2 linked regions of the Mus musculus genome follow. The protein of the gene in region 1 interacts with the protein of each later gene in a pairwise test. Links are inferred from orthologs where the notes say so. Each region holds a gene or a part of one and is shown on either strand. Other genes may lie near its edges.

Region 1 (3,978 bases):
TTCTATCTCACATTTTTTTTTCTTTCAAGGAAAACAATCACATGTCATTTCTGAGAACACTACAGAATGGCTACGACAGCTTCCAGAGACGTCTAGTCAGACTTGCCCATCAAATCCATGTCTGGGTGTGAAGAGCGGGCAGAGCAATGGAAACCACTGTTCCCAACCACCACTGGTTGTTGCAGATAATTCTCTTACAAAATCTCCCCTTATGTAATTATCAGAGGCCACAGCACCTATTCTTTATTGTAAGACACAGGTCAAGGTGGTATGGCAGGCTGCTCTGATGACACCCACATCTGGACCACGATTGATCCTCAATAAGAAAAGAGTCATTCCAGAGCCAGAGCTGCCAGAAACACGCCCTGCGACGCAGGAGGAGGAGTCTCTAGGGAGCGGCCTGGACCTTGCTCCTTAGCAGTCACCTGGGGTACCGATCCAAATCCGAGGGTCCTTAGCTGGGACCTGAGTCCCAGTTGATGAGATTACATGACAAAACAGGGCAAACTGCATCTCAAACACTCTCAAGGTTTACCCCCAAAAGCTATGAGGCAAAACCAAGCAACACTACTCAAAATACTGAAAATGCGGCTCACAATCCTAATTTCGGGCTTCAGTGAACACCAATTACAGAGGCAGGGATGTGCAAACTTGCAAAACAAGTTTTCTTCTGCCGATCTGTATTGGCTTGAAGAGTATTCAAAATTATCTACTAAGAAGCACATCACAATTTTTAGCTCTAGAAACCAATAACCACAATTGGCAAGTGTCGCCAGTACTGACACCAATAACCTGGAGACAAAACAACACACCCGGAGTAGACCGGAGCAGATGCTATCATCTCTTTTCTCAAACATACCCAATTCAGGGGCTGGCAAGATGGCTCAGCACATTAAAGTGCCTGCCACCAAGACCAACGAACTGAGTTCAATACCCACGACCCACAAGGTAGAAGTGAGCCAACTCTCTCAAGTTGTCCTCTGACCACTGCCAATGGATGCCCCACCCCTATATGTGAATATAAACCGAAACAGAAAGCCCCAACAACAAAACCATATTCAGCAAATAACAAAGTGTTCTTTGCTTTTTTTTTGAGACAGCCCAGCCTCCTGAGCGCTGGGGATTAGAGGCATGAGCCAACGCCTTGGTCTAACACGTGGTCTGTGAAGCACTGAGCAAAGTGTGTGTGTAGTTCAAGGAATAATTTTATTCTTAAAGATAAACACGGCAAATCAACTGTTGATTTCTGAGCCATTATATCATAGCCTATTATTCCACTCCTGTGTGGAGATTGACCCCAGGGGCCTTTAACTACCCACACAGTCGTCAGAAATAAGGCTACATTTTACATAGTTTAATTAATCAACTTAAGCCCATCACATGAAATTTATGTGTATTCAGTTTAACTTCTGATTCTGGGCGACTCCGATCAGAGCCTTGGTAGCAGGCTTTTGGGGCCCAAGCTTTTTCCGAGTAACTGGTTTCCTGGCACCAATGTACACCGCTCCTATTGGAATGGCAAAGGTTCCATAAGTAGGTCAGTTTAAACAGATAAGGATCCAACTGGGTGCTGGGACTAATATGGCTGGTAGTGGGTGAGCCAACTTTTGTACTGAGACCCAACCAGGTGCTCAAAACTGGAGGGCGCGGACCTGTCTTCCACGGATTTCCTAGTTTAAGGGTGAGCCAGTCTTTCACACATCAATTTCCACCCCCAACCTCCTTTCACTTTTCATTTTATAAATATTCCCCGAATAGTTACAGTGTAACAGGCTCTGGGTTTCCCAATCTGGAGGATATTTTGGTTCTCAGTAACTTTCGAATATGGTAACAGTTTTTCCCTTGGGTATTATTTTTCTTTTCCCAAAGGGCAGGACTTTGTACTTGACTACTCCCTGGGGGAGAGCCCTGGTTCCAGCAAAGCCCACTTATGGAGGGTCAATCACTGAAACCTTAAGGTTGCGAGGCCCCGGGGCCAGACTTTGGGGACTGAGTCATTCCAAAGCCAGAGCTGCCGGAAACACGCCCTGCGACGCAGGAGGAGGAGTCTCTCGGGCGCGGCCTGGACCTTTCTCCTTAGTAGTCACCTGGGGTACCGATCCGAGGGTACTTAACTGGGACCCGAGACCCACCCTCATGCACCGACCTGGCCTGTGTCCTCTAGGCGGCAGGTCACTGATGGAGGGAAACTAAGGCCGAGCCCAGCAGTACAACACACCCGCGCGGCGTGTGGCACCGCGTACTCGAGAAGTGGCGGCTCTCCATCTTTTCCTAGAGATCCTAAATCCTGATTCAGTTGGGGCACGGGAAGGGGGGAGTGTCACAGGAGGACCCCGGTCCATCTCTTCACCTCCGCCAGATTTGGGCTGGCGGTAGGGAGTGCAGCTCCGGGGACTCAGGTGCTGCCCACGAGTGCATCTCCCGTACCCGGCGTTCCAGGGTCCCCTCGTCCCCTCCCCCAGGGCATGCTCCACCGCCGAGGGCGCACACAGGCCCTGGGCCGCTAAGCCCGCGGGGACACCGAGAGTGTCCTCTTCAGCACCGCGGGATGTGCGCGGCGCCCGGGCATGCGTACCTTGCTCTCGATCAGCTTCACCATTTTGGCTGTTGCGGGGAGGGAGCCACACGCGTCTCAGCAGAACCAGATGGAAATGGATCCAAGGCGCCCAACGGAGCTTGCAACCGAGTGCGGCGCCCGCCTTCTCTTTATAGAAATAGGGCGGAGCGCAGCAGGGCGGGGCGGACGGGCACGCGCGGCGGGGACGCGCTTCCCGCCTCCCGCGTCCGCCAAGGCGCCTGGGCAGGCCGCGCCTAGACCACGCCCCCAAGAGGTGGGGCGGTTTTCCAGGGGGCGGAGCCAGAGTCGGCTACTAGTGCAGCCTGGGGACTGTCCTAGCGCTGGCCTCACTCCTGGCTTCCCCGCCCCACTCTAAGCTGCCGAACAAGAACCTTAGTTTATAAGGGGCGGAGCTAGCACAGGCTCCTGGAGCAGCTTCGGGTTTTTCCAGGCTCCAGACGCCGCGCGGCAGCTACCCCTAAGAGCCAACTTCCAGCTGCCTCAAGGGCACTTTAACAGCGAACAGCGCCGGGGTAGATCACGGTCCTCTCTCACACCGTAGAGTCCTTCTGTAATCACACTGCCCATGCCCCAAACTAGACCTAAGTCAGATACTTCCAGATTGGGGCTGGGGACAGTCCCTAGGACTGCCCAGGCAGAGGTGTATCCTTAGACTAGGGCGGCCATGCTGCAGTTCGACTCAAAGTGCTGAGTAACGATGACCAGGAAGTGTCTCAGTGCGCGTCCTCGCCAACTTTCTGGGTAGTTCTTTGCCGCTTCTTTCTCCTCTCTCTCTCCTATTCCTTAACTTTAACAGGTGAACCTGCTACTGGGAGAGGCACAGAGCCGTTTAGAGCCCTGTTCTGTGCCCCATGCACATGTAGGCATGATAGAGATCGGATAGTCTAGCTCCCAGCATTGTCTTGAAGGATTTAAGGGCTTGAAAACTGACTGAGGACAGCGTTTGGCCCATAAGGAAGCACTCAATGAATTATTCTAATTATAGTCATCGCGAGCGCTAATTAAGCTTGCGTGGTGCCTTGTGGGGCCTTGCTGAGTTTGGCTGCCTTGTATTTACAATGACAGTATAGGCTTTGAGGAGATTTTTCCGCCTTGGGAGAGGACGCCAGGAAGAGTCTTCTTCAATGATAACTGAGGTGATGTTCAGGAGGACAGGGCATGGTGGAAGAAGCTAAGATTCTTAAGGTGGCTTTGTGCAGCCCCAAGAGTGCCGCTGTATGTTCTGGTGAAGCAGCTGAGGTGGAGACTGGACAGAGCCAGCATCCTGGGAGGAACTCACCAAGCCTGCATTTGGAGAGCCGATCTAGATAAATCTACATCGAGGTGAAGCACGGGAGGCTAATGAAACTGTGTCTCAGCCACCCTACCCCTACCCACTGGCTTCCCTTGTTCAAAACATT
Region 2 (3,973 bases), on another chromosome or scaffold:
GACTGACCTCTTCCGACCTTGTTTTGCCTCCAGCGCGAGCAGAGGCAGATTCCACTAGCTAACTCCACTCCGGGTAGAATTTGAAAAAAAAAAAAAAAAAGGAGAAACTGAACAAAACTCTGCCAATCCTAAGCTTCAGTCAGCTAGTAGGAACGCTGAGGGCAAGACGCCCTCTACTGAGGGCCTGCCGCCTAGGGGAGAGGAGGCCCACCTTTACAAGGGATGCAGTTGGGGGCGCCCCCGTTGAAAATCATCCACTTGAAGAGAGTATTGTCGTTCACATCCTCCTCGGTCCATGAGGTGCTCAGCCGGCCGGTGCTGCAACACTCTTCCTTGCTCAGTTCTGTCTTATACAGGACCTGGCAGCGGCCGTTCTTTGCTTGGCGGAGCCAGCAATTCCCAGCTGTGAAGAGACAGGGATCAGTAGGTGAATGAGTGAGCCGTGGGGTAGCGGGAAGGAAGGCTGCTTAGAGCTGGGCAAAGAGGCCTGGTGGGGCGGGGAGCAAGTGATTGGGGGAAGGGGAGCAGGAGAGGGACAGTGGGATGTGAGAGGGAGAGAGGGATGTGGGAGGAAGGGAGGGAGGGAGGGAGGGAGGGAGAGAGAGAGAGAGAGAGAGAGAGAGAGAGAGAGAGAGAGAGAGAGAGAGAGAGAATATGAATCTCCAAAGGGGAGAGTGGGGAAGGACCCGTCACCGAGGTGGGAGGTGGGAGGTGGGCTAGAGCGGCCGCCGCTGCGCCCCAGCCATATCAATGTCAGTTACCAGTGACCCAGACACAACACGTGCAGCTTGCATTGACTTTTACTAGACTGTTTACTTTTATTCGTCCCATTTCATAACCTGCAGCGACTGGAAGACCAGATTAAAGAACCTGACAAAAACAGGATGCGACGGATGTTTTTACATGTCGGTTTCATGTAGGCGGTAAGAGAATTATTTGTGACAGGGGTTAAGAAAGTAAGAGAGGGGAGACGTGGAAGGGAGGGGAGGAGGGAGGGGAGAGGGGGGAGTGTAGGGAGAATGAATATGAATCTGCAGGAACAGATCAAGCATAAAGATACTTGTGAAAAATGAAAGGAAAAAAAAAAGCAGTCGGGCCCAGCCTGGATCTGCCCTGAGCGGCCTCGAGGCGCAGCCCGCCCGACGGGCCCGTTTTGCAATCCGCCAGCCCGGAGCACGCCCGCAGCCACCGCGGTCTTTCGAAATTTCCGAGGGCTGCTTTCTCTGGCGCCCACGTCCCGGCACCCAGGCAGCGCCCCTATCAGCAAGGCTGGTAGCCCAGCCTAGTGTCGGGCAGACGGCTAGGACCGGTGCCGGGGAGGGCAGCTTACGACACACAAAACCTTACCGCTCCAACAGGCAACGCAGCAGGGTTAGAACCCGGAGGCGTCTACCGGGTCACACATACCTACCTTATGTCTCCCAAGAACCTCTTTACAAATAGTTTCTTTCTCTGTCCCTATTTAATGTGTTCGGACTTTGGGCAAGCAGACGTCTCATGAATCACCAAAGTGACTCGAGAGTAATTGTCGTGAAGCTGCGGGGTTACCACTATTTTTAAAAAAGAAATCCAGCCTGGAGACTAATTGTAATAAAATCAATTCATTTTTAATTTTAGAAGATAAACTTCAGAAATTTGCTCTTTAATCCAGGTCGGAGTCTAAATAGCTTGTGGGCTGCTTGGTTCACAGAAGTTAACAGGAATGAGGCAAAGTGGAGAAAACTGTAAAGTACTTAAAACACTTCGGGCTAATAATTTGGTTTGTCTTTCTTCTTTTTCGCGGGGCTTGGGGGAAAGAGGCAGAAGGAGCATCCGCTAAGCGTAAAACTACCTCCCTCTAAAAATTTCAGTACCCACATTTCCAAGTTTGGGCAAAGTTTCTGAAACCACGTCCCCCGGCCACCCAAGAAAATTCGGTATCTCCCATCCCCCACCCCGTCATTTTTTTTTTAAAGAGTCTCCAAAAGATATGGAAGGAAGATGGATAGATTGCTAGTAGGTCGACTGTAATCTCCAGGCTACGGATGCTCGCCCTTCTCCCGAGCCAGCCAGGGGAGATAACATCTAAAGTCATTAGGACCAGAACTTGGAGCATCTACCCCTAACTACTGAGGCTCCAGCTCCTCCACTCAAGCCCTTTCCTTTTTGAGGGTAACCTGGCTCTAAACTCCGCTCTCTATCCTAAAGTGTCACTGCCTTCAGTCTTTCCCTCCCGTTCCGTTCTACAGGAGTAGCCGGGTGGTTCCAACATCTTCCGAGAGCAGCGTAGGTCAGAACAGACCAAGTGGAGACAGCAGAAAAGTAGAACCCCTGCCCCAGCCGAGCCTCTGGGCGCATCCCTTCCACTCACCCTGGGCGCTGCGGTCCTCCATGAACTGGCAGAGTAGCAGCAGCAGGAGGCAGAGCCCGCCGGGCTGGTGCCTGGCGCAGACCATCCTGGGGCAGGCGCGGGGCGAGGAGCGCGGCGGCGGGTGGCTCGGGCGAGCGGCGCGCGTCGCAGAGGCGAGCGGCGGAGGGCGCAGCGATCCCGGCGCAGCCCCGCGCTCGCCACCGGCCGCCCGCGCGATTCAATGGACGTCAGAAGCCGGGCGCAGCCGCGCTTTAAATCTAGACGGGGGTCTCCGAGGTTTGCGGTGGGCGGTCTCCCAGTGTGTGGGGCTGTGGGAGGGCGGCCGCGACCGAGGGTGTGCCGGCTCTTTGGGGGTGGGGAGCTTTTAAAAGTTCAGTGTGAATCAGGTGACATTTCCCACCTTCTGGAAACCCTTCCCAATTATCTGTCGGAGGTGCCCGAAATCAAAGCGGCAGGAGGGGAATCGCCGAGTTCTTATTTGCGTAGGAGCGGGAGGGGAGGGGGGAAGGAGGCAGGGGCGGGGGCTGGGGGCGACGCGTCGGGGGTGGGGAGGAACATCCACTTCAGTCCTGCACGCCGCCGCTCGGAGCCGGCGCGCCCGGGGTGGCGTGCGAGTGTGTGTGTGCGCGCGTGTGTGCGTGTGCGCGTGTGAGTGAGGGCGCTGGAGGAGGCGGCCGGCGGAGCGCGGGGACCCCGGAGGACCCCGGGAATGGGTCCCCAGCACCTCTGCTCCAGGGCTCCGGGATGAGACTTCTGCAACCCGCCGCAGGATCCCTGAGCTGCTTCAATGCCCGGGGGAGCAGTTTCAGGAGCCTCCCTGCAGAGCCTTGGCGCGGGGTCCCGGAGACGTTTTGTGTCCCGAGGTCTCTTACGTGTCTTACTTTGCGGCCACCCTGCCAGCTCCCCCGCCTCCCACTCCCTCCCGCGCCCCCTCCCCCCCCAGCCTGGAGTAGGTTGCTAAGAACCCCGACCCCCGGGCACCTTCCACCCGGGCCGAGCGCTGCGGAGACGCGGCCCTCGGGCTCCACAAGTCAGAAGCAAACAAAAATGTTTAACACCTCGGAGCCGGCCGCCCCCGGCAGTCTCGCCCTCTCCCTTTCTTTTCTCCCCTTTCACTTCGTCGCGTCTGGAGTCGCAGCCCCGAGCGGGGGCGCCGACGTAGGCGGTCTGCCCCCCTCCTCCCCCGCTCCGAGACGCCCCAGTTTCTGTCCCGACTCCTCTCTCTCTCTCTCTCTCTCTCTCTTATTTAAAAAAAAGATTGCACCATGATAATGAACTTCTGCAGCCTCAGTTTATTGAGTGCAATGCCTGGCATTCTTCGCCGAAAGTTGGCGGGTCTTCTCATTTATAACATTTTCTGGCACGGCTGAATGAAACTGAGGAGGCGATATTTCCTTTTATATAAAACGATTACTTCACGGAAAAGGCTATATTGTTTATTTCAAAGCTGCCTTTTAAATTTCTATTCTTTTCGCTTCTGAAGCCCGAACGACAACAAACAGCGAACAAAACAGACAAAATTCTTGGACATTCCCAGGTCATTGGGATTTGCTCTTACGGATTTCAAATTCGCCCTTCTTCTCTAGCCCCAGCCCTAGCGCCCCCCCCCCCCGGTCCTCCTCT

The links.
Region 2: the proteins of Txn1 (region 1) and Fst interact in binary tests that used the Homo sapiens proteins (3 or more experiments, as listed by UniProt). The link is inferred for Mus musculus from reciprocal best matches to the Homo sapiens genes TXN and FST.

What each region holds. Positions count from the first base shown.
Region 1 is NC_000070.6:57,953,612-57,957,589, forward strand, and holds the start of Txn1 (thioredoxin), read right to left. Parts: upstream 2,801-3,978; 5' UTR 2,600-2,800; coding exon 2,576-2,599; intron 1-2,575. UniProt on the Homo sapiens protein: Participates in various redox reactions through the reversible oxidation of its active center dithiol to a disulfide and catalyzes dithiol-disulfide exchange reactions.
Region 2 is NC_000079.6:114,456,152-114,460,124, forward strand, and holds the start of Fst (follistatin FST315 precursor), read right to left. Parts: upstream 2,801-3,973; 5' UTR 2,436-2,800; coding exon 2,351-2,435; intron 924-2,350; exon of another isoform or gene 645-923; intron 428-644; exon of another isoform or gene 404-427; coding exon 212-403; intron 1-211. UniProt on the Homo sapiens protein: Multifunctional regulatory protein whose primary function is to antagonize members of the transforming growth factor beta (TGF-beta) superfamily including activin, myostatin, GDF11 or bone morphogenetic proteins (BMPs).